3 linked regions of the Struthio camelus genome follow. Each later gene encodes a partner of the first gene's protein in a complex. Links are inferred from orthologs where the notes say so. Each region holds a gene or a part of one and is shown in the gene's direction. Other genes may lie near its edges. The genes, in order: LAMTOR1, LAMTOR3 and FLCN.

Region 1 (9,535 bases):
ACCCTGGCCCCTGCACCCGACACTCCACCCTTGCACCCCCCACCCTGCACCCCGCACCTCCCACCCCCCACCATGCAACCTGCACCCCCCACCGTGCCCCCTGCACCCCACCACGCACCCTGCACCCTGGCCCCTGCAGCTCCCCCCCTGCACCCCATACCCCGCACCCTGCACTGCCCACCCCGTACCCTGCCCCTGCCCCTTGCACCCTGCGCCTCCACCCCGCGCCGGGGCCGCAGGGCCCAGCCGGGGCAGGCGCTGCGTCGGGCCGGCAGGGCCAGGACGGCTCCTACCTGTCCGTCCCGGGCGGCGGGCAGGCCGGGCCGCGCGGCCCCAGGCCAGGCTCGCCAGCGCCCGGCCGGCAGCCCCTGCGCAGCCCAGCTCCCCGCTCAATTATTGATGGTGTCACCTTAGCCGCAGCCGGCCGCCGGCTCCGGTTACCGAGCTGGGGCGAAGCTGGAGCCGGGGCCCTCGCAGGGGCTGCGGGGGGAGGCTGCACCTGGGGAGAGATGGGTGCAGGAGGTGGAGGGATGGGTGCAGGAGCTGGAGGGATGGGTGCAGGAGCCGGGGGATGGGTGCAGGAGCCGGGGGATGGGTGCAGGAGGTGGAGGGATGGGTGCAGGAGCTGGGGGATGGGTGCAGGAGCCGAGGGATGGGTGCAGGAGCCGAGGGATGGGTGCAGGAGCTGGGGGATGGGTGCAGGAGCCGGGGGATGGGTGCAGGAGCTGGGGGATGGGTGCAGGAGCTGAGGGATGGGTGCAGGAGCCGAGGGATGGGTGCAGGAGCTGAGGGATGGGTGCAGGATCCGGGGCATGGAGGCAGAGCAGTGCCAATGACACCTCATCCCCGCATCCCTCCAGCGGCCCTGCGTGCATTCGGGCGGCGCGGGCGCTGCTCAACGGCCGCCTGCACCCGAAGGCCGCTCGGCCGCGCCGGGCTGTGCAGGGCGCAGGTTGGCGCCGTCCCGTCCGCCTGGCGTCAGGCACGCCGGCGCCGCGCCGATTCCCAGCTGGCAGCTGCCGCCGCGGGACGGCGCAGGGCAGGATGGCGACGCCGGCGCTCCCGACGGCCCGGCTGCAGCGGCTCCGGGGACGCCGGTGTGCCTGGCATGGGGCACCCGGTGCGGGGTGCAGGGTGCCGGGAGCACCAGGAGCAGCAGGAACTGGGAGCACTGGGCGCAGGCAGCACCAAGCCCTGGGAGCACTGGGTGCCGGGAGCACCCGACACCAGGAGCACTGGGTGCTGGGAGCGCTGGGAGCACCAAGCCCTGGGAGCACTGGGTGCCGGGAGCACCAGACACCAGGAGCACTGGGTGCTGGGAGCACCAAGCCCTGGGAGCACTGGGTGCCGGGAGCACCCGACACCAGGAGCACTGGGTGCTGGGAGCGCTGGGAGCACCAAGCACTGGGAGCACTGGGTGCCGGGAGCACCAGACACCAGGAGCACTGGGTGCTGGGAGCACCAAGCACTGGGAGCACTGGGTGCCGGGAGCACCAGACACCAGGAGCACTGGGTGCTGGGAGCGCTGGGAGCACCAAGCACTGGGAGCACTGGGTGCCGGGAGCACCAGACACCAGGAGCACTGGGTGCTGGGAGCACCAAGCACTGGGAGCACTGGGTGCCGGGAGCACCAGACACCAGGAGCACTGGGTGCTGGGAGCGCTGGGAGCACCAAGCACTGGGAGCACTGGGTGCCGGGAGCACCAGACACCAGGAGCACTGGGTGCTGGGAGCACTGGGAGCACTGAGTGCCGAGAGCACCAGGGACTGGGAGCACTGGGTGCTGGGAGCGCTGGGAGCACCAAGCACTGGGAGCACTGGGTGCCAGGAGCACCAGACACCAGGAGCACTGGGTGCTGGGAGCGCTGGGAGCACTGAGTGCCGAGAGCACCAGGGACTGGGAACACTGGGTGCTGGGAGTGCTGGAAGCACCAAGCACTGGGAGCACTGGGTGCCGGGAGCACCCGACACCAGGAGCACTGGGTGCTGGGAGCGCTGGGAGCACCAAGCACTGGGAGCACTGGGTGCCGGGAGCACCAGACACCAGGAGCACTGGGTGCTGGGAGCGCTGGGAGCACCAAGCCCTGGGAGCACTGGGTGCCGGGAGCACCCGACACCAGGAGCACTGGGTGCTGGGAGCGCTGGGAGCACCAAGCCCTGGGAGCACTGGGTGCCGGGAGCACCCGACACCAGGAGCACTGGGTGCTGGGAGTGCTGGAAGCACCAAGCACTGGGAGCACTGGGTGCCGGTAGCACCAGCAACTGGGAGCACTGGGTGCTGGGAGCAGTGGAAGCACTGGGAGCCAGGAGCATGGGCCCCACGTTGGCCCATGCCCTGGCGCTGTGGGGGGCACGTGTGCAATGCACACACACGTACACAGCCAGGCACACGGGGGCAGCGCACGCACACACTCACGTGCGCCTACCCACGTGCCCACCCCCACGCCCACGTGCGGTGTGCACATCCATGTGACCGGCCACAACCCTGCGTGGCACACCCCCACGGGACACCCCCATGCCCATGCACAGCGGGGGGGCCACGTATGTGCAGTTCACCCCACCCCGGGACCACGCACACACCCCGGACCCGCGCGCACACACCCACGAAAGCACACACCCACTGCAACAGGCGTGGACAGTGCGCGTTCCCGTGTGCCACACTCGCACCCCCGTGACTGTGCGCGCGCGTGCAGCGCGCCCTCCCGGGACACCACGCACGCGCCTGTGCCGTGCCGTCACCCCCCCGTGGCAGCGCCCACGCGCGAGCCCGCCACGCCAACCCGGAAAGCGGCAAGACCGCGGCGTCCACGTGACGGTGCCCGCGCGAGACCGGCGCAGGCCCCCCACGTGACGGCGCCCACGCGCGAGCTCGGCCCGCGGCGGTCACGTGTCGGCAGCAGGCGGCTGGGGGGGTGGGGAGCTCCCCCCCACCGCCACGTGCTCTCCGCTTCGCGTGCTGATTGGCTCCCCCGCACGTGACGGCGCGCCTTTAGCTGCGGCGGGGGGGGGGGGGGGGGGTGTGCTCCCGTTCGGATTGGTCCGCCTGCCCACGTGACGCCGGCTGGGCCGGGATGGCGGGTCACGAGGCCGGAAGCGGCAGGAGGGGAGGGAGGGAGGCGGCTCCGCCCCCGCCCCCTCCGCGCGCTGCTGGCGCGCGGCCGCCGCGCTCACGTGACCGGGGCGGCAGGGCCCCTGCCGGACACCGTAGCGGCGCCGCGCCCGGCCCGGCCCTGCTGCGCCTCGCCATGGGCTGCTGCTACAGCAGCGAGGCCGAGGCCTCCGACCAGGTGCGGGGCGGGGGCCGGGGGGGTGTGGGGTGTGGGAGGGGGAGGGCAGGGGGTGTCAGTGGGGCGGGGTGGTGTGGGGAGGGGGGAGCTGGGGTGTCAGTGGGGGGGAGGGGAGCTGGGGGGTGACAGTGGGGCGGGAGAGGTGGGGGAGGGGGGAGCTGGGGTGTCAGTGGGGCGGGAGAGGTGGGGATGGCAGTGGGGCGGGGGGGAGGGGAGCTGGGGGGTGGCAGTGGGGCGGGAGAGGTGGGGGAGGGGAGCTGGGGGGTGGCAGTGGGGCGGGAGAGGTGGGGGAGGGGAGCTGGGGGGTGGCAGTGGGGCGGGAGAGGTGGGGGAGGGGAGCTGGGGGGTGACAGTGGGGCGGGAGAGGTGGGGGAGGGGAGCTGGGGGGTGACAGTGGGGCGGGAGAGGTGGGGGAGGGGAGCTGGGGGGTGACAGTGGGGCGGGAGAGGTGGGGATGGCAGTGGGGCGGGGGGGAGGGGAGCTGGGGGTGACAGTGGGGTGGGGGGATGTGGGGGGAGGGGGGAGCTGGGGTGACAGTGGGGCGGGAGAGGTGGGGATGGCAGTGGGGCAGGGGGGAGGGGAGCTGGGGAGTGACAGTGGGGCGGGAGAGGTGGGGATGGCAGTGGGGCAGGGGGGAGGGGAGCTGGGGAGTGACAGTGGGGCGGGAGAGGTGGGGATGGCAGTGGGGCAGGGGGGAGGGGAGCTGGGGAGTGACAGTGGGGCGGGAGGGGAGCTGGGGGGTGACAGTGGGGCGGGAGAGGTGGAGATGGCAGTGGGGCAGGGGAGAGGGGAGGTCAGGTGGTGACAGGTGGGGGGATGTGGGAGGAGGGGAGCTGGGGTGTCAGTGGGGCGGCGAGCTGAGGGTGGCAGTAGGGCGAGGGGAGGTCAGGGGGTGACTGGGGCAGGAGCTGGGGGGGGTGACAGTAGGGCGGGGGGGCTGGGGGGTGACAGTGGGGCGGGGGGGAAGGGGGGCTGGGGGGGTGACAGTGGGGCGGGGCCTGAGGGAAGGTACCATGGGGGTGGATGTGGGGTGTGTGAGGGGGAGGGGAGCTGGGGGTGACAGTGGGGCAGGGGCCTGGGGGAGAGCACTTGGGGTGGCGGTGGGGCAGGGGGACATGGATAACAGTGGGGTGTGGGGAGGGGAGCTGGGGGTGGCAGTGGTGCTGGGGGTGTGTTTGGGGGGGGAGCTGGGGGGTGACAGTGGGGCAATGGGATGTGGGGGGAGCTAGGTGTGACAGGGAGCCAGGGGGCTGGGGGAAGGTGCCATGGGGGGGTATGGGCTGTGTGAGGGGGAGGGCAAGGGGGGGCAGTGGGGGGAGGGGAGCTGGGGGGGCAGTGGGGCAGGGGGATGTAGGGGGGAGCTGGGGGGGCAGTGGGGCAGGGGGACAGTGGGGTGGGGTGATGGGGGGGGAGTTAGGGTGGCAGTGGGGCAGGATGTGGGGGGAAAGGAGCCGGGGTGACAGTGGGGCAGGGGGATGTAGGGGGGGAGCTGGGGCAACAGTGGGGCAGGATGTGGGGGGAAGGGAGCTGGGGTGACAGTGGGGCAGGGGGATGTAGGGGGGGAGCTGGGGTGACAGTGGGGCAGGGGGATGTAGGGGAGAGCTGGGGCGACAGTGGGGCGGGGGGACAGTGAGGTGGGGGGGAGCTGGAGTGACAGTGGGGCAGGATGTGGGGGGAAGGGAGCCGGGGTGACAGTGGGGCGGGGGGACACGGGGGCAGTGGGGCGGGGGTGGCGGGAGGGATGGGGGGAGGCCGGCCAGTTAGTGAGCCTGGGCGGGGGAGGGAGGCCGGTGAGGGGGGGCCTTGGGGGAAGGGGCACGTTGGGGGGCATCAGTGGGGTGACAGCGGAGGGGGTGCTGGCGTGAAGGTGGGGTGCTGCTCGGTGGGCCTGGGTGGGGGGGAGCGGCAGTGGGGCGGAGAGCTGGGGGGGGCCCGGGGGGCTGAGCGCTGGGGCAGGAGGGGTGTCAATGGGGCAGCAGGCGGGGGGGGTTCGTTAGGGCGCCGGTGGGGCGAGGGTGTTTAGGGAAGGGGCTGAGGAGAGGCCCTGCGGGATTTCGGGGCTCTTGCCATGCTCTTGCGGGTGACGCCGGCGCGCCGCTGCCGTCCTCCGCCTGGCGCCGGGGGGACGGGGAAAGGGGGGGAGTGGCCTGCCCTGGGCAGGGCTGGGGCTCGGTCTGCGGAGCCGCTTTTGGGGAAGGCTTGCGGGAGAGGTGTCGCGACCCCTCAGGTCTTGCAGCCAGGCGCCGGGCCCCTCCGTGGGGAGGGCTGCGCGGCGGCTGGGCTCCGACGCGCCCTCCGAGGCAAACGGAGGCCACGGCTGGGACTCGTCCCTCTGGTTCCTTGGCCTCGCCGGCCTCTGGCTGGGGCAGAGGATCTGCTGCGGCCCTCTGGCTCGCGGCTTCCTCCTTCCACACAATAGGAAATGGGCCGGACTTTTGTTTTCGGAGGAAAGGTTTGGCCTTGATGATGTTTGTCACGTGGTCGGAGCAGGGCGCAGGGCTCGGGGGACTGTTTGGGCTGAGGCCCGGCCTCTCCGGTAAAAGCTGTTTGCAGGTTCCCCCCCTCACCTGACCCCATCCTCTTGGGTGCCCTTCTCCCGAATCCAGCGCAGGCTGGTGGCAGTCGCCGCTGGGCTGGTGCGTGGGCTCGGGGCGGTGTGGCGCCCTCGATGGCGCTCTCAGGAGATGGGTGCTGCCTTCAGAAATCCCACGTGCACAAATAACAGCCAGCTGTGCCTTAACCTGCTGGTCCCGAGCGACAGCATCGCGCTGACCGAACCGAGAGGCTGGCTTTGGTGCTTGTTCCTGCAGGTGGTGCTTGTAGCGCGGGCTTGAAGGCGCCGGTAGGCTGCGGTGCCTGTGTTTCGGGGGGAGTCTTGCTCTGGAGGGAGTCTAGCTTGTGCATCGAGAGCTCAGCGCGGAAGAGCTGTTTAGCTGGCGCCGCTCGCAAGAACAAAGCGTTTGCTGGAGAAAGTCGGAGAGAAGCACAGCTCTTCCCGTGTGCTTCTGGGATTCGCTCCTCCTTACGTTCTTTGGTCTTTCCTCCCTTTAACGTAATTCCTGAAAGTCCTGAGTACGAGTGAACTTGGGCACGCGGCTTCAAAAGGAGCGTTTATTGCGTTCATCAGCTGGGGGAGATGCAGGCTTCAGGCTTGCTCTGTGGTAGTGGCCACGAAGCGTCTTTGCCGCAAGGGAGCTGAAAAGCAGCGTGGGGCGACTGTAGCTGAAAGGCAGGCTTGCGTGGGTTGTTGTGGGGCCGTGCGACGCGGCTCTGCGTCTGGATGCCTGCTGGAGAAGGTGCTGCGTGTTCGCAAGCGCGTCGCTGCGAGGAAGGCGAAGAGTCGGGGAGAGCGTGGTGCGGGGTGTCCTGCAGCTCGCGGGGAGGAACAGCCCCGTTCTGCGGGCTGCGAGGCCGGGGATGCCCTTCCCTCGCGCTCGGGAGGCGCCGCAAGGGACCCGGCTGGCTCGGCCTGTGCTTTCTGCTGTGAGCCTCCCCCTGGAGAGAGGTGGCTCGACTACGTTGGGCAAACCCCGCGAGGAAGGAGGATTCCGGAAATGTAGATGTCCGGGTCCCCCCACCGTGAAGGTGAAGGACGCGGCCGTTTATCTAGGCTTGTGTCGGCGAGGGTGGAAGGAGCAATGCGAGGTCCGCAGGTGAGGAGCGCCCGGCGCGAGCGTGGCGTAACGTCGGGGCTGGGTAGGCTGCCCCGATGCTGCCGCAGCGCGGGCTCCTCGGTGGGCTCGGGCAGGGCCGTGACGTCCACGCTGATATTCCAGAACTTGCAAATCCGCTCCGGCAGCGTCCCTCGGCTCTGAATCCAGGCTGTCGACGTGGTGCAAATTACTGCCTCCTTCTGCTGTAGGCGTACCGCCCGCTCGGGGCGGAAAGGAGGCCGGGTGGCTCCTCCGTCTTGAGCCTTCCACAAGGCCCGGCGGGCCAGAGCTGCGCCTCGGAGCGGGCTGCAGCTCAGGCCGCCTCTCGTTGCGCCGCTCCGGCCTTCAGGCGGCCTGCGCCGCGGGTCGATGCGGTCGGGTGGGATCCAAAGGCTCTGGAGCTGGCGGCGTGGCTGGGATCCCGAAATCGTAACCCCAAAGAAAGGGCTGACCGCAGAGCCAGCCTGCTGCTCCTAATGATGCCGCGCGGCCGCGGGACTCGCTGGCTGCTCCTAGGCCTCTTGGGTCTGCGATGAGCTTTCTGCTCTCGAGTCCTGCCTCGGAAAGCAGACGCTTAGCGGTAACGTAGCGGAAACGTTCCCCTCCTGACACTGTTTTCCCTGGCTGACTAAACCTCGCCATGAGAAGTCTCTCGCTGATCTGCGCTCGCGGTCTTCCCTAATTTCCTTGCTTCAGCTTTGCGGATTCCCTGTGGAAGCGGCTGTGGCCAAGCGCTTGCCCCTTGTCACGATAAGAGTCAGGGTGGTTTAACTCGCTGATTTATGCCCACCTCCTCGGGGCGCCTGCCCCCCCGCGCAGAGTGGACGGACCCCTCTGCCCTCTCTCGCCGCCCCTGGCTCTGCAAGCTCGCGGCTGGTTCCTCTTGTCGGATGACAGCACCGCCTCGGAGGCAGAGCGCTCCTCTTGCCTGTAATCCTCTTCGGGGCATGTTTTCCTTGCGCTTCTCCCGCTGTCTAAGCGATGGCAGCGGGAGCGCGGCCTGCAGGGTAGGCGGAAGGGCCCTGGTGCAGCCAGCAGGTCACCTGTAAGATGAGACCCCGTCTCGGCACTGCTGCCGCAGCGCTCGGAGCCGCCTTCGGACTACGGATGTCGGCCCGAATCCACGAGTAACGTCTACAGCTGTCACGGCAAAACGCGTCTTGGCGCTGACAGCACCGGTGTCAGGCTTTCCTTTCTGGGACAGGGCGGCTGTGCCTGCTGCCGCCTCTGCTGCTGAGCAGCTCCGAGTGCCCCCAGGCAGAAACTTAATCCGCTCCCCCTTTCCCTGCCGGAGAGCTCGCCCGCGGCAGCCTGGGCTGAGCAGCCCCCTTCCCGTGCCTGGCCTAGGGCAGGGAGGAGAGGGCCGGTGCTGGACGTTTGCACCGGCGTTTGCCCACAGGAGGAAGTGAAGAGAGGCAGATGTTGGCCAGGGAGGAGCTAAAGACGGGCTGCTGGCGGGGAGCAGCTTTGCGAGGCCCGGTGCGGGGCCGCGGCTCCCCGCCACGAGGGGCGAGGGCTCGGAGGCGGCCGCCCGCCCCGCGGCGGGAGGGAGGCGAAGGCTGCCCGCCGGCGGGCTGGTGGGACGCGCGGCTGTGGCTGCGGCGGCAGCTGACGCCCGGCGCGCGCCTGCCCTCCGCTCTCCCTTCTCGCCGAGTCCGGGGCAAACGCCTCTAAAACGAAACCAAAACGCGGAGGGGTGGTTCGCGCGCCCGGTGCGTCAGTGACAGGGTGCCCTGAGCGGGGAAACACCCGCGCGGTCGCCGCCTCCTCTCCCGGCAAAAGCCGGAGCGTCTCCCACAGCGCAAATCTTCCCGTTGTGCTCTTCCCTCTGCCCGGGGGCTCGAACCCTTTAACCGCCTGTCGGTGGGCGCGTGGCGCGCCCGAGGGCCCGCGGCCTTGCGGTGTGGGGCTCGTGGGAGGCTGGCGCACGAGGCGCGCTGAGTTATCCAGCGTGGCGCTGGGATCAGCGTCGGGCGCAGGCACGGCAGCGTCTCCGGCGCCCGGAGGAGGCCCGCAGGGGCGGTAGCTGTTGTCTGCAGCGGCCGGCTGCTGGTTTTCGGCTGCGAGTCTTTTTAAAATTAGAAATCCAGGTCATCGGAGCCAGGGTGCGCGCGGGCAGGAGGAGCACGTGCTTCTGTAACGGCACGGCGGGGCACTGAGCCGGGAGCAGAGCTCGTCCGCTAGCTCGAGAGGGGGATGAGAGCCGAAGGCCTTGAGTTAAGTTTGGGGCAGGCCGGTGCCGGCCTGTCCTGCCAACCCTGCCGGAGCCGTTAAGTCACGGGAGAGGCTGCTCTGTGCCAGCTGCCCGCCGTCGCTGGCCGCTCTCGCAGCGGAGGTCTCCTGGGGGCTGCCTCGGGAGCCCGAGCTCACGCTGGCACCGGCGTCAGGACGCCGACCTGTGTCCCTGTCGCCCAAGAGAGCCGCTGCGGGCGCAGGGCCGGAGGGAGCGGGGAGCCCGGCAGCCGCGGCACGTTTCCCTCTCCCTCCCCGCCAGGCACCTGCAAACCTCGCAGGCTGAGCGTGATCCGGCCTGATCCCGCCACGCGTGGATCCAGGTGGTGGAAAACGACCTTGCGAAAACCAAGCGGTTTCTGA
Region 2 (9,535 bases), on another chromosome or scaffold:
CACTTAAAAACCCCTCAGCTTCTCCAGCTGCTTAGAATTAACTGCTTATTCTTTGGATTTAGTCTAATCTAGAATTAAAAACAGGACAAACATGGGTTCTTGATTTCTCCTTTAGAAGAGCAAGTAGGAAAGTCTTTCAAGAAGTAAAAAATCTTGGCGTGCGATTCTGACATACCATAATGAAAAAAGGGAGGTGATTTGCATCTGCTGAAATAACATCGATATCTGTTCTATTTATGGAGCAGCCTGAGTCATGAGCAAGTTCATTGTTCCCATCTGATGAACATTTGCCTGCAAGTTCTCTACCTGTTTAGGGAAAACGAGATTAAATTTGAATTTTTGACTTTTTTTTTTAAACAGTCTCAATTCTTTTATAAGTTTCAAAGAAATATAAAAATACATAGTCACTAAAATGTAATGGATGCTTTTAAATAGGCAGCAGAGGCAACTGTAAATCATGGACATTTTTAATATGCTGTTGTAATGAGTGCAATACAAGGATTAAAGTGGCCAGGCAAAAATACATTTTTTAAGGTTGTCTGCTCCATAAATGTCATGAATCGTCATCATCCTTTCCTAGTGTAGATCTTTCAAACACAGCAGAAGAAAGCAATATCGGATGGTCAAACAAATGCTTTGTTAGAGGAAATCCAGTCAATATGCAAATTCCTGAAATTGTAATTTTAAAAAAGTACTAGCTTCCTAGTTGTCTAGATCTGTTCAATAGACTGCAGTCAGTTTTGCCAGAGGAAGCTTGGTCATGATGATTAATGATGACTGGCAGCCGCAAGCCCTGGTGCTGTATCGCCGTTTTGCTACGGATTTACTATAATCTTGCAAGCATCACTCATCTCTGGGCTTTGTTTTCCCCATGCACCTTTGTAAACCACTTTAGGGAGCCTGGACAAAAGGTACCACATAACAAATGTAAAACATTGTCAGCAGTGCCATATTTGAAGGGTGATCTAGATATTTTTCAGAGCAAATAGTACAAATGTAATAAATATGGGAAAGAAATATGCCATTATAAACCCTCCTCCCCATATATCTGTTCTCTGGGATAGCTGAGACTTCCCAAGCTGGCAAGAATTAAGCTTGACTGTCAGATTTTTCAGGATTTCTCAGGGCAGGGTTTGCAAGCACAGGCTCTGTGTATACATAGGCTGTCACTGGGACTGGAGACGAGATTGCTGATAACTTTAAAATGCAGGAGTCATCTCATAGATGCTCTTGCACAGCTTTCAGTCAGTACTTAGTGTGACAGAGAAGGAAGTAGAATCAATCACTTAGGATGATGCTGCCAAATTTTAACAACCCAGTTGCATTTTTAAATATTTTTATTGTATGGTGAGGAATATCTTAAGAAATGAATGAATCAAGGTTTTTGCATGTAACATTCTCAAAATACTACCAGGAGCTCACATATGAGAATTTTATGGGGATTGCCTTAAGTGTTGCTCTAGTGTGACTAAGTCCCTTTTTAAATTGCCGTGTCTTGTATTTAGAAAGATGCATAGATTCTCAAAATGCAAAGGAATCTGCCCTTTATTACTGAACTTTTCCTCTGTGCCTTGCAAAATTGGCTTGTATCTGGTTATTTGGGTTTTTTTTTTGACCTCACAAGACTTATATGTTCAGAAACATTAGCAAGTTTGAGTCAAGTTTTTTTTTTTTTTCCTGAGCTCCAGTATTGTCATCCAGACAAAATCTTCAGATTCTCAGCCGTGCTCAGTGTGTAGCAGCTCTCCTTCAGAGAAGGAGCACTGTTATATGTTGAACACTCTTTGAAATGCACCACCGTGGTCCTAGGTTCTGACACAGCACGAGTTTTAAGATAGATACACAGTTTCTGTTTTTATACAGTGAGCATCTAGTGGATGAATCTGCTTTGTTTCCTCACCTGAATTTGTTAAATTGTTAGTCTGCAGGTGCATGGGACAAGATCCAAAAGTATGGGTATGTTTATGGGAGATGAGCCTCACTGGAAAAGTGAAACTAGGCATAACTATACTAGGCAGAAATGGACATTTCAGTTTTTGTTCCTTTAACTTAGATGCGAGGGGGGGAATTCTCCAAAACTGTGCTGTTTCCCCCGATCTTCCTAGAAGATGAGCTGTGGTGCTTACTGGAAAAACAGAACCCTTAGTTTTGCTCTGTGTTGACTGCAAGAGAAGAAACATCCGATTCCTATGAAAATAGCTCAACTTCCCGAAGTATTTGAATGCAGACAATAGTTGTTGAGGTTTTTATTCCGCTGCCATTGAAACTAGCACAGCATCTTGTCTGGAATTGTCCTGGGTGTCCTAAATGGAATTAAACAGCTTGTGCCCGAGGGGCTCTGGGGGATCCCAGTTCAGGTCGGAGCCCCAGGGGGGCACAGAAAAGCACAAGGTTCCCTCCCTCTGGTTACCTCTGTTGGTGCCACAGAAATGCTTTTTCTGCCCAGATGGTGAAATAGGCAAATCGGCCAAGCAGCCCTGCGTGTCCTGCAGGCCTCGGCCAGCTGTAGGCGCAAAGGCAGCGTGGGAGGAAAAGCTGCTGGAGCAAACAAAAAAACAAAACAAAACAAAAAACCAAAAAACCCTATCTTTTAAGTTTTTGTGCTGGTTGGTGAAAAGTAGCTGCTAATCTTGCAGTAATCTCTTAGGTGAATTTTGTAATCCTTACGGGGAAATTGGAAATTTCAGACTCCCTTCTTAGTTTCATTGTCACTGTTAACAACAGGAATTTGTTCCAATGTGTTTGATTTCTTCTAAGCATGGTTTAAAAAAAAATCCTTATATTAAGGATTATGCAAAGTGTGTGGGTTTTTTTTAAAGCTTTTTGCATGTATACTTTCCCTGGTCAGGATATAGTTTCTTTCAGATGCCAAGGTTTGCTGGTCTTGGGGCCACTGTGAATACTGTGCATGCGCATGTGTATAGGTGTACAGATTTTTTCCAGCTAATACCTCAAATTTGTGATTGTTTTATATTGTGCTACTGTAAGTTTGCACAGAGCAGGGCTTCCACTGGCCGTGAAAAGTGCCCACCTAACTTTGACAGCTCTGGAGTCGATTCACTTTAAAAAAAAAAAAAAAAAGTGTATTTTTCCAGTAAGCGAAGTGTTTCCCTAGCAGGGGACGTTCCCGGAATGAAACCCGGAGCAAGGGGCTGCTCAGGCTCGTAGACGAGCACTGCAGTGCAGGAGACCTCCGGAAAAAAAAAAAGAAAAATCAAATATTAGCGGGAGCCTGGCAAAAGGGGCTGCACTGAAAGGGGTCCCCCAGCAGGAAACGGACTTTATTTTGCCAATGCGCAGTCGAAGCTCACGAGTGAGGTTTTAAAAGACTTGTGTGGTTTGTAATATACCTGATGTAACACGGGACTGGCATCAAAATAAACTTATTTTCGGTGTGAAAGGCCGCCCGCGCTGTCTCTTCTCTCCGCCGCCCCCAGGGCTCCTGCCGCCGGCGCGGCCGCGTTTGGCCCCGCCGTCGCACCGTAGCCGCGCCGCGGTCGCGCATGCTCGGCGCCTGCCAGCGGGACGAATCTGGCGCTGCCGCGGCGGGGAAGCGCTTCCGGGGCTGTGACGGCCGCGTCGTCACGTGATAGCGGCTTAAAGGGGAAGTGGCGGTGGCGGCTGCGCAGGCAGGTGAGCACTGCCCCCCCCCTTCCCCCCCCACCCCCCCAACCCGGGCCACCCGCCGTTCCCGGGGCCGCCGCGGCGCTGGTGACCGTTGGTACGTTGTCCCGCAGGGCCGCGGAGGTGGCAGCAGCGCCGGGAGGCCCCGAGCCATGGCCGACGTAAGTGCGAGCCTTGGGGTGGGGGGGCTGGGGCCGCGGCCGGGCCCGCTCGCGCGGGGGGTGCTGCCGTTGGGGCGGCGGTTGGGCGCGCGAGCAGCCGTTAACGGCCGCCGCCCGGCCCGCGCCGCCGGGGAGGGAGGGAGGGAGGGGGGGGGGCCGGACCCGCCGGACTGCTGGCGGCGGTCGCGGGGGGAAGGGGAGCCGCCGGCAGCGGGCAGAGCCGGCTGCGGCGCTGTTCTGCGTGCGCTTTCTCTGAGGAGCAACCTGACGGCCGTCTCTCCCTTCAGGACCTGAAGAGGTTTCTCTACAAGAAGCTGCCAAGGTAACGTGGGCACCGCACCGCGCTCGGGTGCCGGCTGCCTGTCCTGTTTCGCAAGTGGTGCGTTTGCGGTTTTTGGGGGTGCTGTTTTGTGGGGTTTTTGGTGTTTTTTTTTTGTTTTGTTTCGGATCTCCAGTGAAGGTAATACAATGCGGTGGCTTTTGGAAGCATCCTTATCTAGCCTGCCAGTGTCAAACGTTTAAGTTGTTTTTAAACTGTGCCAGAGGATGTCTGTGCGGTATCTGACTCGAGAGAACTGTCAATTACTAATCCCTTTTGCTGTTAAAGAGACATGGTTAATCCGAAGGTTAGTGTACTTTTCTGTTGTGTAAGTGAGCTGGAAGTACCTTAAGATGAAACCAGCTTAACCTTGTACTTGTGCGTTTGAAAGGAAGCCCAGTATGCTTTATCACTTCTCAATGAGAAGTGGAAAAAAACACTCCTGGTGACTCAGTCTCCAAGTCCTTGATAACTCAGTTTGGGGTAATTTTAAGTTACTAGTATCATTAAACAGCTGCAGTCAGGAGATCATGCACAAACACAGTGAAACTGGCACTTATTGACTATATACTATATCTCAAGTCTCTTGCTTGGCTAATGAAACTTTTACAGTAACATTCCTCTTTCTGCTGCTGAAAGTTCCACACCATCTTCAGTATTTTTATTTTATACTCACTGTTTTAATTCTTTCAAGAGACCGTGGTTATTGAGCAGTATGTATTTTACAAGTCTCTTCCTGTTGAGTAGTGTTTTCATGATAGGCAGAGCTTACTGCAGCAATTTTTTCCGTATTGCTTTCTTCCCTTTCTTGCATGTTTGTGCAGAAAAAAAACTCTTTGTCACTAATTATTCTTCATTTTAAAAGGTGTATTTTCTTTGTTTTCTGCAGTGTTGAAGGTCTTCATGCTATTGTAGTATCAGATAGAGATGGTGTGCCTGTTATCAAAGGTAAACTTCAGCTTCTCACTGTGTGCTGCAAAGGGGTGGGTAAAAGAATGACAGACTTTTGTGTTTACAGCTGCTATCTGTGAATATCAGATTTTTGCTTTAATAGTTAATTGTGTAATCCTTTCATCTATCTATGTTTATGCAATGTTCCTGATGATGTAGTCCACAGGACTTTTCTTCTTTTGCATCATCAGTGAACATGGTTGGAATGGTATAAGGTGTTTGTATCTTCAGATCACTTGCAGGTTGTTATAAGGTGCTAGGAGGGAAGTTAGTGATGTTTAGTTAGCATAATACCTTGAATACCTTCTGATCTGTGCTCAGAAGAATTTGCATCCAACTTACAGGTTTTATGTGACTCGGTTTGCTTTTTTGGCACTATCATTTGTATCATGTCTCTGCAGTTCTTGTTTAAGATGTTTATACGTTGTAGGTAGAATAGTTTAAGAATGCAAAGATTCAGGTACCTGAAAATATTTACGTCCCAAAGTACTTAAGTGCCAAGCAGATTTTGCGTACCTTCACCTGCCTTCCTGCAAATGAATGCTTGCTGGTGGAGAATGCTGAACCAAAGCAGCACTAACACAGACTGTGCTCCATAAAGGAAAAGTGTTTCTTAGGAGTGCAAGGAAGGATGCTGGTGTAACGACCACAGGTCGTTTACTGAATGTTAACCTATATACTGCTTTTGAAGGTTGCCCCATAGCAGTTAGTTGTTGCAGAAGTGCTGGGGGACAAATAATGCATCTTGTACACCAAATCTACATTTGGAACAGCACCAAGTTGAATGAGGATTTGTGATGCGGTCATAGATACCATGTAAAAACAAAAAATGTTCATGTTTTGTTTCAGTTGCCAATGATAATGCTCCAGAACATGCACTTAGACCTGGCTTTCTGTCCACCTTTGCCCTTGCAACAGATCAGGGCAGTAAACTAGGACTTTCAAAAAACAAAAGCATCATCTGTTACTACAATACATACCAGGTGAGGAACAGCATTGCTTGTTCTTACTGGCCAGAGCAATTCCTACATTGAGAAAGGAGAGGGAAGGTGGTTTAAGCTGTGGTAGGTTTCCAATAGGCTGCTATTAAAATACTTATGTATGTTTTATTTCTGGTGCTACTTAAAGCTAGCTAAGTTAAACATTTGCGATATTTGTTGAGCTACTTTCCTGTTTATCAAACCTGAGAAGATTTACTCATTGAAACTGGTGAGCTTTCCTGAGCAGATAGTAACCAGCAATTTGCTGCAGGTGCTGTTGAAATGGCCTCCAGAACTTGTTATGATGGGTTAACGTTCTCTTGTACAAATGAATACTTGTGTGTTTATGATCAGAGACACCTATTAAAAAAAAAAAAAAAAAACTTCAAATAAGCACATCCAGCTTACTTCACAGTTAATCTTGCTGCAAATAAGACTTCAAGAAAAGAAAGTTTTGAAATACCCATTCAATTTTTACAGACTAGATATTATATTTGTGTCCTGAAATCTAGCATCCAATAAGTTTCTGCTCCTTCTGAAGTCCTGGTGGTCTTGCAAGCTTTTTAGTATGACTGCAGTAAACTGATCAGCTGTTTGGGCTACTGTGTCCAGCTTTGAATGAATTAGTTTATGCACAGGAATATATTGCTTTGATTCTCTTGACACTACTGATATATTGTTGTGCTCAAGGTTTGAGCTCCCAGTTAAGGAAAGAAGAAATATTTCTATACGCTGAGTAGCATTTTAAAGCAATAAACCTGCCTGCCTTCTTGACATCTGTAGAGTGTGTGATTTTCATAGAGTGTTCTGTAGCTTTTGCAGTTGAGTTGATTTCAAGTGGATAATTGAAGAAAATGAAAGGGAAGGAAACACCAGGCTTTCTAAGAACACCTTCCTGTACTGTGGTAAAGGCTCTGTTAGTGTTTTTAACAATGAATCTTATGAAACAGATATGCTTAAAAGCCACTTCTACAGTTCTTACTCCTACTTGCCCTTTAAATTGTGGAGAGTACTTGTTTCAGAAAGAGTTTATGTAGCAAAGCTCTAAAGTGCAAGGTGTGTTAGCTGTTTTCTGAATATTATTCTTTTTCCTTGCAGGTGGTCCAGTTCAATCGCTTGCCTTTGGTAGTAAGTTTCATTGCTAGCAGCAATGCCAATACCGGTATGTCTTCAGATATGCTTTAAATATTATGGCATTTTAAGCCCCAGATGTTTGAATAATTGAAGATAAATTACTTGAATTTAGTTGAAGATATATTAACTTTGCTCCTGCTATGAATTTTATCAGAAAGAGTGTTGTGAGGGGCTGGAAGGAAATGCATGGGTAAAAATTCCTGAAGATTCCTGGTGACTTGCTGAAGACAATACTCTCAGTTAGAAAGTAGCTTGCATCTCCTGTATTTGACTTTATCCTTACTTGTGTGAGAGAATGCACTGCACTGGCAACAATCGTGTCGTATTAACCAGTTGTTTGGTCTCTTTCCGTTAGTGCCACATGAAGTGGACCAAATGTTTTTTAAAAAAAAAAAAAATCTAACGATCTCTAAATTACTCTTTCAGGCTTCTATGCCTTGTCTTTCCCACCCTTGTCAAATGGCTGGCTTCTGGGGCAGGTGCGCTCTTGGTTTTCACAGAAAGCAACATCTGTATCTTACTAAATCAATAGTGGCAGTTATTGCCACCCGCAGTAATGAAACTAATGCAGGGCAAGCTATGTCCCGCATTAACATGTGCAGCTTCATCTTTTCAGTTCTCTAGGATAGGCAAACCCTGGAGTGAGTCACCTGGATTTGCTCACAAGGGTATTGGCTAACGAGGGAGAGAGTGAGAGCAAAAGGGATTTATTTCTGGTACAGCTGTTTGGCCCTTGATAACTCTGGGAAACAGCAGGGCACTAATGGAGGAGGTTTGCAGCACAGCTGACAGCTGCGTTGCAGTGAGTTTGCTCGTGCCTGTGCCTTGGGCCGCACCTCGGAACGGGCACGGGGGCCCTCGGTTTGCTGCCAGGATCAGTTGCCACGTGCCTCTCCCTTGGGGAGCAAGAAGCTGGAGTGAAATGTTCTGTACAGGAAGGATTTCCTGATGTGGCCTCAAAGAGGAGGGAGCTGCGGGTTTTGGAGAGAGGCTTCTGCTGTGGGGTGATCTAATGAGATGTTCTGTCTCTTCTCTTTCCAGGGTTGATTGTAAGTTTAGAGAAGGAGCTCACGCCCCTGTTTGAAGAATTGAGGCAGGTTGTTGAAGTTTCTTAACCTGATGGCATAGCCCAAGTTCAGCATCTCTTTGCAGCCCAGTGGGCAGAAAGATTCAATAATCCTCAGTCGAGTAACATGCCTCAGAAGAAATACCACATCTCCCTAGTATACTAAGTAAGAATAAATTGTACATAGTACTGAATCTGAAATGATCTACTAGTGTGTTGTAGATGGATGTTATTTAGGCCACACTTCTTGTATTGTGCAGTACTGGAGAGACCACCAAAATAGCTCCCGTGGAGTTTAGCTCAGCCAGCTGAGCTGTTTCTATCAGCATGATGCTGTAGGTGCAAATGAGCAACTCACAGATCGTTTGCTGTACAGGGAATCAGGCATATGGCAGGACTTATCCTCTGACTAGCTACCACTGCATACTGGAAAACATTTAATTTGTTACAAAATGTTATCAAAGATGTGCTTGAAAAAGAATATTGTGAAAGCAAGTTTGCTAGCAGTGACATATCAGTACAATCAATAAATACCCCATATTTCTCAGATTGGTGATGCTCTGGAAAAGGAGTTCTGTTAATCTGGATGTCGGCTGCATCCTGCTTCTATACAAGAGCTGTTCCTACAAAAGCTTTTGCTTCAGGGCTTTTCCTAGTGCCCAGAGAAGTGCCCAGTCTTTCACTTCATGGGTTTTTGTGTAATATAGGTGTGAAGTTCTTATGTCTCATACTCTTTGTGTGGGTTCATTACTGGTGACACTCTCAGCTCATTTACTCTTGGTTTTCCTAAGTAAATTTAAATAAAATATAGTATTTTTAAATGACAGAGCCTGGTCCATTTTTCTGTTGTGCCATAACATTCTATAACACATCCGACTTTGTGTAGAAAACAGGTCTTGATTGCTTATACTAAACCTGGGAGTTTACAGGTTAAAAACTAACCAGCATGTCCTTTGGTTGGATCTTACAGATGGATATCAAAGCCCTGTGTCAGTGTGCAGGTGCAGAAATTAATGTGTGACTGACTTCCAATTTGTAAGATCACTGGGGCTCAATCTCATGCCCTTCTCTCCCCTCGCTCCCCTCCCCCCCATCCCTTTGTGATGGCTCCAGTGTAGATTTTCAGCTCTGAAACTAAGCTCCCAGGTCTGAGAGCGCTGTGAGCAGACGTCTGCTTTCACCTGGGAAAAGTGAGGCTGTACCACCCCTCCACCCCCCCGCCCCGCTCATTTGTACATTACCCACCTTCAGGATCAGGTGGGCTGGGGAAGGTGACTGTGTTTGGGCTCTGCTGGAGAGG
Region 3 (9,535 bases), on another chromosome or scaffold:
AGAAATCACTGTAGGGCATCCGTATATGACAGCTATTTATTTCTAAGTTTCTGGGACAAAATATTTCCTAATAATGTTTGCTATTAGATCAAACGTCCTGGGCCTAACCAAAAGGGTATTTGGAAGACCCTGGTGTTCTGGAGGATGCTTGCTGTGAAGTTGTTCAAGCTGAAAGAAACTTAAATTCTTGCTTCTATATGATAGGACATAAATGAGTTTGTTCAACCCTCTAGTACTTTTCTGCGTTGGAAATCAGTCTAAGTGAAGGCCATGCTGTAGATCTTTTCTTTGTTTCTAAAGAAAGCAATTCCTTATGATAGAATCGTATACAGCTCTCCTAAAAGCAGGGATTTATTTGGAAATAACATGCTGGAATAACATCTGGTTTTTAAACCGCTATTTCAAACATCACAGCGTTGTCATTGGGTTCTTTAAGTGCTTCGCTCTTTGAATCGATGGGCTCTCAATTTTTCTGTAGCTCTTAATGTACTTGAAGATTATTACTGTTCGAGCACCTTTGAAACACTTAATGTCAGTGCAAATCTCCTACTATCAGACATAAATAAACCTGTCATCAAGTCAGAATGTGAGCAGCTCAGCATCCAGTGCTTCCTACTTAAACACCTGAATAGGAGCTGCTTGCTACTGCTGATGACCTGCCAGTTTTTTTCAGGTGCCTAGGTGGGAACTAAGGATTTCTGGCTCTTGCCGTGTGGAACTTGTATGTATTGAGGTCACCAGTGGTTGGAAAATATATCGTTTGTGCTTCCAGTGCTGATACAGAACTGTTGGGGTTTTCATTTGAAACGGGCATCTTAATTCTAGCAGAGCCTCTGTGACTGAGTGCTCTCTAGTAGCAGAGAAGTGTCCACAGGCTGTTCTTTAGGTGGTGAATGAAGTTTTTAAAAGTATAAAATAGCAGTTTAGTAGCGAACACAGCATAGGTCCATAGCGTTAGTAGCTCACCATTGAGTACTTGTGCTTCCTATCATAGCAACTTCCATATTTGAAGGCAACTTTTACACCTAATCTTAAAGGAAAATCTTGTTTTTTTTTTTTTTTCACAACTTGCCTTACCAGTCTTGTAATTAAAGATATTTATGATTTTTAAAGTCTTTTCCTAGTTAATCCTGCAGTGATTTCAATGCTGAACATGCTCATACAATTTTCTGCTCTGGTACTGTGGAAGTGTTAAATATGTGATTCATAATGTTGTGGGCTCAAGCGCAAAGTTGGGTGGTAGAAGTATTTACGATCATATGCAGTAGTCACAGAAAGCACTGACAGTGACTAACCCCAAACTGCCACGTATACAAATATGTGGAAAGCTCGCCTTTTGTCACCAAGGGACCACTTGCCGGGGGAGAATGTATGAAGAATGTTTTCGTGAAGTTTGAGAAGAATGAGAAATGTCCACTTCGCATGGCTAACGTTTTGTAGCACTAGTTCCTATTAGTGAACACGGACGTACCTGCTGAGAGCTGTTGCAGTGGCTTTTGTATGTGTGGAGTTACAAGCAAACTAATACATGCAGCTGGCAAAGGGCAGCTTTTTTTTTTCTTTTTTTTTCCTCTTGCCAAAAGTAGGTAAAGTAAATCATACTACATGTCAAAAGGATGTAGAAATTGCTATGTGATAGTTTCAAAGCATTGCCCTTAAAAAAACAGATTAAGAATAGCAGCATTTATATATAATCTGAAAGTTTGAGACCTGCTAAAGTTTGTTTTCTGATGTGGATAATTGTGCTGCTAAATTCCCTGACTGCTGTTGAAAATTCAAAGTCAGGTCCCACCACTAGAGCTGAGTCGATGGAAAGCGTTCACCAAAAGTGCTTTGCAGAAGGGCTTCTAAGCAGGGGGGTCTGATAAATACGTTCAGTCTGGCATCTGCATGTCTTGAGATCCTATTGAAAGCAAGTCTTCCAGATTTTTAATGGAGTAGCTCCTTCAAGTCTTGGAACTAATAGCGTGGGGCTGTGGCCAGCTGAGAAGCTTTGAGAACACTTGAGCTTTCTGGTTGTAACTTCTATTCTACCAAAGCCCTTCCCTACAACAAATATAAGGCCACTACGTGCTGTGTTTATCCAAACTTAGGATGTGAGAAGTGCTAGTTCTTCCAGTCGTGCATGACCGCAAGGTGTGATCACAAAATACTGAGTGCGTGCTTTGATATCTAACCCATATTTTCATGCATCTTCATTAACTGCATTTTATATCTGCATTAATTAAGGTAACATGAGACTTGCAACTACACTTTTTAGCCACAGGAGGGATCTCCAGTTCAGTTATACGTAGCAGCTACTGATGTGGGATTTTGGGGGTTTTTTGTTTTGTTTTTTAAAGAAAGGGCTAGAAGTTGCTTGTATACAACCACCTCTCCTATTTTGGTGCCACTGAGGAGCACTAACTAGTGAACTTTGCTAATACATCTGCAGTATTTCCGTTGCGCCAAATGCTTTTGCGTAATTAAAGTTGCCTCGTTCTACACAAATTCCCTTTCTCTATTCTACAGTACAACTGCGACCCGTTTTGTGTGTTGTCATGGGTTTTCTGTATAACGTAGGAATTGTTTTCTGCATGGCCATACTGGCTGAGGAGGTTAGACCTGAGAAGCTGTTTAAATGTACTATTGGAAAATAAAGATAACAAACGAGTAATTCTTCTTAATTTGTCTTAAATGGCTGGCCTGAAAGAACGAGATAGTAGGTGTTTCTTATTTGGCTTTCTCTTGGCTTTTGGGGGGTTCTCTTGTTCTTGTCGCTTCTCAGGACAAGTGATGGCTTACAGTTGGTCGGAGGGAGACTCTAGTTGTTGTCTGCGCGTCGCCATGCCCTGTGGTCAGGAGTTGTTCAAGCTCTGTTGGTAGCTTTTCAGAGGTTTCCCGGAGTGTTTCAAGTAGGAATAGCTGGTTCCTTTTGTGCAAGCAGGCGGTAGGACCTCCTTAGGAAGAGCTGCTGCAGGCCCTGGTCCAAGACGGGCTCCAGGGTTAGATGGACTCTGGATCAAACATATGCTGCAAATGAGGTCTCTTTGCATTCAAATCTCATCTCTTGTGTTATGATCACCATCAGAATGATGAGTGCCATTTTCTCCACCAGAAGCATAACTCTTTAGTCCAAGCATGGCTGCTTGGATCCAAGGGCACATATTGTAGTAATCATTGATCTCTGCTATTTCGGAGGATTTAAACTGTCTGCAGCAATGCAAGGTGTGCTCAGCTGAATGGTCAAAAGTATATATATCTATATATTTTTTTCTGTTCTCGTGTGAAGAACAATACAACCCTCTCTCTGCCTTAGCGCGGTTTCCAAAAATGTTATAGATCTATGTTATTCCATGGCAGAAGACTTACCATAGTGCTCAGGTGTTCTAGGGCTCACCTACAGTGGAAGGGGAAGGGGGAGAATCTAGCAATTGATTATTTTAAAGCCTGAAAGGATAATTATTTCCCCTGGAATTTGAGGTTTATCTCTTCATTGCATTTTCCTAGGGATAAATAGTGAGCTAGTACCACTGCCACCACTAATGCCCAACTGGTGCAAGTGAAAGGAGGGGGGATGCGTATAGCAGGAGAGACTAAAACTGGCTTGTTTCTTTTAACTCGAGGTGGCTGCTCCCTTCCTCCAGGGTCTTAATCTGGGCCTTGCTGGGCTGACTTTCTAGATATAATTAGGGGAAAAAGACAATACTTAAAGGCTTTTTCCATTATCTGCCCTAATCTCGTATTTTATTAGTCTACAGCATACGTCGTACCGCTCGTCTAGGCTCTCTGCGCCCCCCCCGGAAGAGGAGTCCCCGAGCGCGGCTGCGTTCCCACACCGGCAGGCTGGCGGAGGCGAGCCCCGCGACCGCGCACAGCCCCGCGCCGCGCACCCGGGAGCCCCCCCACGCGCCTGCGCGCGCGGGGCGCCACCCCGCGCCCTGTGGCTGGCACGTGACCCGCCCTTTGGACCGCACCACCCGCGCCGGGCAAGGGCGGGGGTGCGGCGCCGGCTCAAGGCCCAGCGCCTGCGGTGGTGGCAGGGCGGCAGCCCGTCCCTCGCTCGTCTCAGGGGTCGGGGCTCTTTCTCGGCGCTGGGTCGCCCGGCGAAAGAGCCGGAGAGGGAAGGGAGGAGCCTTCGGCCAGAGCTTATCGCCCCCCCTACTTTTAGGGAGTGGTTCTGCCCAACGCGTGTGCAAAGGGCGGTCGTGGACCGAGCCATTGCCGAACCGGGGGGGGATGGGGGGAAGCGGCCACTCGGGGAAGCGGCCAGCAGGTGTCGGCTCCGTACCGGGGACGAGGAGCTGCCGGCGCCGCTGCGCTGCCGCGCTCCTTGCTCCTTGCCGCCCCTTGACGGCGGCCCGAGCGGAGCCGAGAAGTCATCTCCTTCCCCCTCCCCCTCGCCGTCGCGTAGGGATGGTACAGGCCGGTGGGTCAGTCAGTGTCAGGCGCGCGGAGCCACGGGACGGGCCGGGGCGGGGGAGCCCGGAGCCGCGGTGAGTGTGGGGGGGTCCGGTCCGGTCCGGTCCGGTCCGGTCCCGTCGGGCCTGAGGCGTCCTGGCCCGGACGGTCCGGTCCTCCTCACGCCGTCCGGCGGGGCCCTGAGGCGTCCAGGCCTGGTGGGGGCATCGGTCTGGCCTAGTCTCGCCCCCTCAAGGCCGAGGTGTCCGGGCCTGGTGCCGGCTGAGGGGAGGTCGGTCCAGGCTGGGGTGTCCGTGAGGCGCGGGGCCGGGTCTGCCGGGGGTCCCGCTTCTCTGGTGCGGGTCTAGCACCCCGGCGAGCAGCCAGCCCGCTGCCTGCTTGGCAGAGGGGTGACTGTGGATCTGCCCTTGCTCTGCTACGGTCCCGGCTGCGGAGCGGTCAGGGATGACGAAGGCCTGAGTTTGGTCTGCCCTGTGGGGAACTTGGTGTCAAGGCTTCGCTTGGGCAAAGAGAAGACACTCTGCAAGCTGCTGCTGGTGTCTTTCAGCATGGGAAAAATGGACTGAGCGTGTAGTCCCTTTAGCTGAGCTTAGCCCCACGATCTCATGGAGGAGCGTAGAGAAGGACTTGTGCCGAGGGGTGTTTTAGCCTCTGTTTGTTTTACTGATGTTGCGTGCTTCCTTGCTTTCCTGCAGGAGGCCTGACCTATGTGCTGAGCTCTCACTATGAATGCTATCGTTGCCCTCTGCCATTTTTGTGAGCTCCACGGTCCTCGCACCCTCTTTTGTACCGAGGTGCTACATTCACCGCTTCCTCAAGGTGCAAGCAGCGGGGACGTCTCTGGGCAGAATGAGCAGGCGGAAGAAGAAGAAGGCGGCATTCAGATGAGCAGTAGGATCCGCTCACACAGCCCAGCAGAAGGTGCCAGTGCTGACTCCAGCAGCCCAGGGCCAAAAAAGTCAGACATGTGTGAGGTAAGTGTGTATGCGTGTGTGCAGACATTGGTGACCCCTTGCTTAACTAAGGGGCTCATGGATTCTCTAATTCCAATTGTATTGCTTAGGAGGAAGAAAATGCACGTGACCTACGCTCGCATTTGTGTGTGACTGCCAGTACCAAAAGATCTTCAAGTCCTTAAAAACTGTAATAACCCATGACAGGATGTTAAGGAACTGTTTTGTGCATATAGGCTTTGGCAAGGTGATCTTTTGAGGACACTTTGGCCTATGTTACCTGATTCTCTGGTGGCTGAGAAATGGCTCGTTCATCCTTGAAGAGGACCTGCTTCATTACGTTAGGTCTGGCCGTAGATTAGTAAACTTTAACAGCAGCATTGAACAGGAACCGGGAAAAAATCCCAAAAGCAATTAAAATGATAGAGAAAATACATGTTTGCAGTTGTTCACATGCTTTTCTGAGCTACTTAAGTTAGTTACCTTCTTTTAGATAATGGCCATTTTTATTAGCTCGTTAGTTTCGCAGTTGCTGTTAACGTTGAACTGAATTAGATGACTTGTAGAGTCATCATCAAATCCCGGATCAAACTAAACAGTGGAAAAAGAGCATAGCAGCTGAGGAAATATAGCCCTTAGGATGCTAGTTGAGGAGCTGGGTTCAGATTTGGACCTTGCCTCAAACTTCCTATGTCCAGCTTACTCTTAATGAATATCTGCATTTGCATCTGTAAATGTAAACATCACTTCCCTACCTTTTGAAGGGAACATGCAGAGGGCTTTGAAAACCTTAGGTAATTGCATGCTCATTTATGGTTGGATTTTGCTTTTCTATCTTCAGGGTTGCCGCTCTCTTGCAGGAGGACATCCTGGATATGTCAGCCACGACAAAGAGACTTCAATCAAATATGTCAGTCACCAACACCCAAATCACCCCCAACTGTTCAGTATTGTGCGTCAGGCCTGTGTTCGCAGTCTGAGTTGTGAGGTAACTGGCTTGGAGTGCAGGGGGAGAATCTGGTTTGGGGCTTACGCATTGTTCTGAATCCAAGATACTGCTTCGTTGATCTTAGCCGCTCTGTGCAGCCTGAAACAAGGAAGGAATGGAGGTGGAAAGACAGACATAGAAGTCCTGTTTGTTCCAGGATTGGTGGGAATTTTCCGGGTTGATCTTTGCTAACCGGGGTGGGGGGGAGTTCCTTCCTCTTGCCTTGTGACACCAGAAGTTTCCCTTTATTGTTTTTGCTCCTATGCATTTATTGTTTTTCTTTCTGAGATAAACTGTGTTTGTAAAAATGTTGCAATCTGTTGCTTTGCATCAAGAAACGTTTTATCTTTGCAGACCGTTTACGTTCAGCATCTCACAGAAGGGAAGGGGAACCTTACGGATTAATGAGTGTTTGTGTGTCAGAATCAGCAATTCCTTGTGGAGTCTCAACGTGATTATAGTGGAGCAGAGCTGAATTCTTAAAATAATTTAAATGAGGGTCACACACTTGCAGGCTATCTCTGGAGGTCTGTTTGCTTATGTATTTTGGATAGCAGCCTAGAGAAGGCTTGTTTTATTCACCAGGTAACTTAGGCTTCATGGGAGGGGGTGTTAAAGAGCAGGAGGCTTTGTTCAAGCAGTTCATTAGTGTTTCAGCTATGCGATGTACTGAACTAGTTTGGTGTATGTGTCCCTTCCCTTCAGGTCTGTCCAGGACGTGAAGGCCCTATTTTTTTTGGAGATGAACAGCATGGCTTTGTGTTCAGCCACACCTTCTTTATCAAAGACAGCCTGGCTCGTGGTTTCCAGCGCTGGTACAGCATCATCACTATCATGATGGACCGGATTTATCTCATCAACTCCTGGCCTTTCTTGTTGGGAAAAATCAGAGGCATCATTGACGAGCTTCAGGGCAAAGCGCTCAAGGTGGGTCAGTGCGGGAGTGGATTTGGATCAACTTTATGGCAGTTGGTCTGCAGATGAATCAGAAAGCTAATGCAGCTCACTGCAGCCAGAGAGGTCGTTAAGGTTGACACAAGGGACAAGAGGAGAGTCCACATCAGGGCATAGGAGAGGAGGAGCAAGCTTCAAGTCGGTTTAAACCAGCTATAACGCTTTTCACAGCCCTAACTGCTAGACACTGTCTCCATTAGGAAATTCAAGTAGCTATTAAGATGTGAAGAACAACATTTTAGGGAGCACGGGTGTCACTTGATGGTAATTTTAGTCAGTCGAAGAATAAAGCGTCCCTTCCCTCTCTTTTCCCATAATTTACAACGTATTTTGGGTGACTGTATGTGATATGTCCTTTTCACTTGTTCTTTTGTCTCAGGTTTGCTTCAGCATTTTATTTTTTTCGGTCTCTTTTACTGCCCTTCTTTTTTAACACAGGTGTTTGAAGCAGAGCAGTATGGGTGCCCTCAGCGTGCCCAGCGGATGAACACAGCGTTCACTCCCTTCCTGCACCAGCGGAACGGCAACGCAGCCCGCTCCTTAACATCACTGACCAATGATGAAAACCTGTGGGCATGTTTGCATACTTCCTTTGCTTGGTAATGCCATTTATGTTTCTAGCTTCTGTAACTCCTTCAAGAGCAGAAAATTCTCATGTTCTGAAATGGTGGAAACGCGAATGGACTTTCCAGTTGGTTGTTCCTCAATTAGTAAGTTGGGCTTTGTGAAGTAGTCCCCGAATGAGAAGGAATTAAGCACAGAAAGAGAGCAGCCGTCTGGAGCCTTTAGGACAGAAGTTCTCTTGTTGCTGTGAAGTAAACCTATTAACGTGGTTGCTGATGGAAACCATGTCTATCTAGATGGAAGGACTCTGCACTATAAAAATAAGTACAAAAGAAAGCAAGAAAAGATGTCCCCAGCCCCATTCTGTTGTACCTGGGATTCACACCTGAAGTACAGTGGTTGTTCACCTGGAGGTGCCCGTGTATTGTGAGATACAGTGTGAGACGCAGCGTTTGGCGCGGTAGCATGTCTGTGAGATTCCACAGCACGTTGCTCCAGTGCCTGACTTGCTCCTCAGACTTCCCTGGAAAGATGCCACAGAGAGGGTTGCAACACTGGCATGTGGCTTGAATAGGGGGGTAAGTGTTGCACAAAGTAATTGCAAAATGGTAGGCCTTTCAGTGACTGGGTGGCTGTAGTTGTAAGATGCATTGATAGTTACAAACAGAGAAAAGAATCGAGAAGTGTTGAGAGGAACCACAGAGTGGTAGTGATCCGATATTTTGTTAAGCTCGTAGCACCAAGTTTCTTACACGACTTTTGTACCTAGCAAATGGGCTTAATGAGCGCTCCTCTCGTTTTTTCAATGTTTCTAGGCTTCTGAAAGCTTGTGGCAGCCGACTTACAGAGAAGCTTCTGGAGGGAGCACCAACAGAAGACACGCTTGTTCAGATGGAAAAACTTGCGGGTGAGACTAAACTTTCCAAGAAGAATTTGCTTGGAGAATACTTTGGGTGGTGAAATACCAGGTCCTTTCGTCAGCATGATAAACGCAGCCATCTCTCTCAGACTTTACCTTTGTGTTAGTCTGTGCAGTAGCTAGTGTGTTCTATATGGAGATGACTGACAGGAATGTGAAACCAAGGCCCTTGGCTTCATAGGCACTCTGCACGCACATGTGTTGTTCCCATTTCTGTAGGAGTGTTGCATCATCATGATTATTGTTCTGTCTGGCTGGGTTGGCTCTCCCAATGAATGTCTGTGGCCAGAAGAATTTACAGTCACAAGATAGGAAGCTTTCTCCTTTGTCATTTTTCCACAAAATTTCTAAAATTAAAGGATTAGAAATTGTTCTTACACTGAATTATTTTATTGATCCGTTTAGACTAGAATCTGGAAAGCTTTGGCTATGACCTTTAAAGGAAGACTAGAGAATGCATAGCTGGTCAAAAGATATGATGTTATGTGCTGTAGATGAAAATTCCTTCTTGACCTTTCAGTGGTTATCTTATATCTGAAGTGTGAAACTTGACTACACTTTTTACTTTAGGTCTATTTGTTACTAATGCTAGTATTTTCAGTTACTGTGTTTGCTCTACATCTGAACTCTGTCTCCCCACATCCAGCCAAACACAGTGGGCTGCAGACTGTGTAGGCACTTCTGAGGCAGTTCCCATTCCTGGAGAGCAGCGATTTTTTTTATGACCATTCTGCCTTTTTTGTCTAGACCTGAAAG

The links.
Region 2: LAMTOR1 (region 1) and LAMTOR3 share a complex: the UniProt entries of both Homo sapiens proteins name them as parts of the ragulator complex. The link is inferred for Struthio camelus from reciprocal best matches to the Homo sapiens genes LAMTOR1 and LAMTOR3.
Region 3: LAMTOR1 (region 1) and FLCN share a complex: the UniProt entries of both Homo sapiens proteins name them as parts of the lysosomal folliculin complex. The link is inferred for Struthio camelus from reciprocal best matches to the Homo sapiens genes LAMTOR1 and FLCN.

What each region holds. Positions count from the first base shown.
Region 1 is NC_090942.1:224,068,978-224,078,512, forward strand, and holds the start of LAMTOR1 (ragulator complex protein LAMTOR1), read left to right. Parts: upstream 1-3,111; 5' UTR 3,112-3,245; coding exon 3,246-3,287; intron 3,288-9,535. UniProt on the Homo sapiens protein: Key component of the Ragulator complex, a multiprotein complex involved in amino acid sensing and activation of mTORC1, a signaling complex promoting cell growth in response to growth factors, energy levels, and amino acids.
Region 2 is NC_090945.1:27,875,893-27,885,427, forward strand, and holds LAMTOR3 (ragulator complex protein LAMTOR3), read left to right. Parts: upstream 1-3,496; 5' UTR 3,497-3,633; intron 3,634-3,737; 5' UTR 3,738-3,776; coding exon 3,777-3,785; intron 3,786-4,072; coding exon 4,073-4,107; intron 4,108-4,993; coding exon 4,994-5,052; intron 5,053-5,904; coding exon 5,905-6,038; intron 6,039-7,133; coding exon 7,134-7,197; intron 7,198-8,210; coding exon 8,211-8,284; 3' UTR 8,285-9,061; downstream 9,062-9,535. UniProt on the Homo sapiens protein: As part of the Ragulator complex it is involved in amino acid sensing and activation of mTORC1, a signaling complex promoting cell growth in response to growth factors, energy levels, and amino acids.
Region 3 is NC_090956.1:4,043,808-4,053,342, forward strand, and holds the start of FLCN (folliculin), read left to right. Parts: upstream 1-4,202; 5' UTR 4,203-4,408; exon of another isoform or gene 4,409-4,672; intron 4,673-5,096; 5' UTR 5,097-5,126; coding exon 5,127-5,375; intron 5,376-6,195; coding exon 6,196-6,342; intron 6,343-7,047; coding exon 7,048-7,269; intron 7,270-7,734; coding exon 7,735-7,895; intron 7,896-8,675; coding exon 8,676-8,767; intron 8,768-9,526; coding exon 9,527-9,535. UniProt on the Homo sapiens protein: Multi-functional protein, involved in both the cellular response to amino acid availability and in the regulation of glycolysis.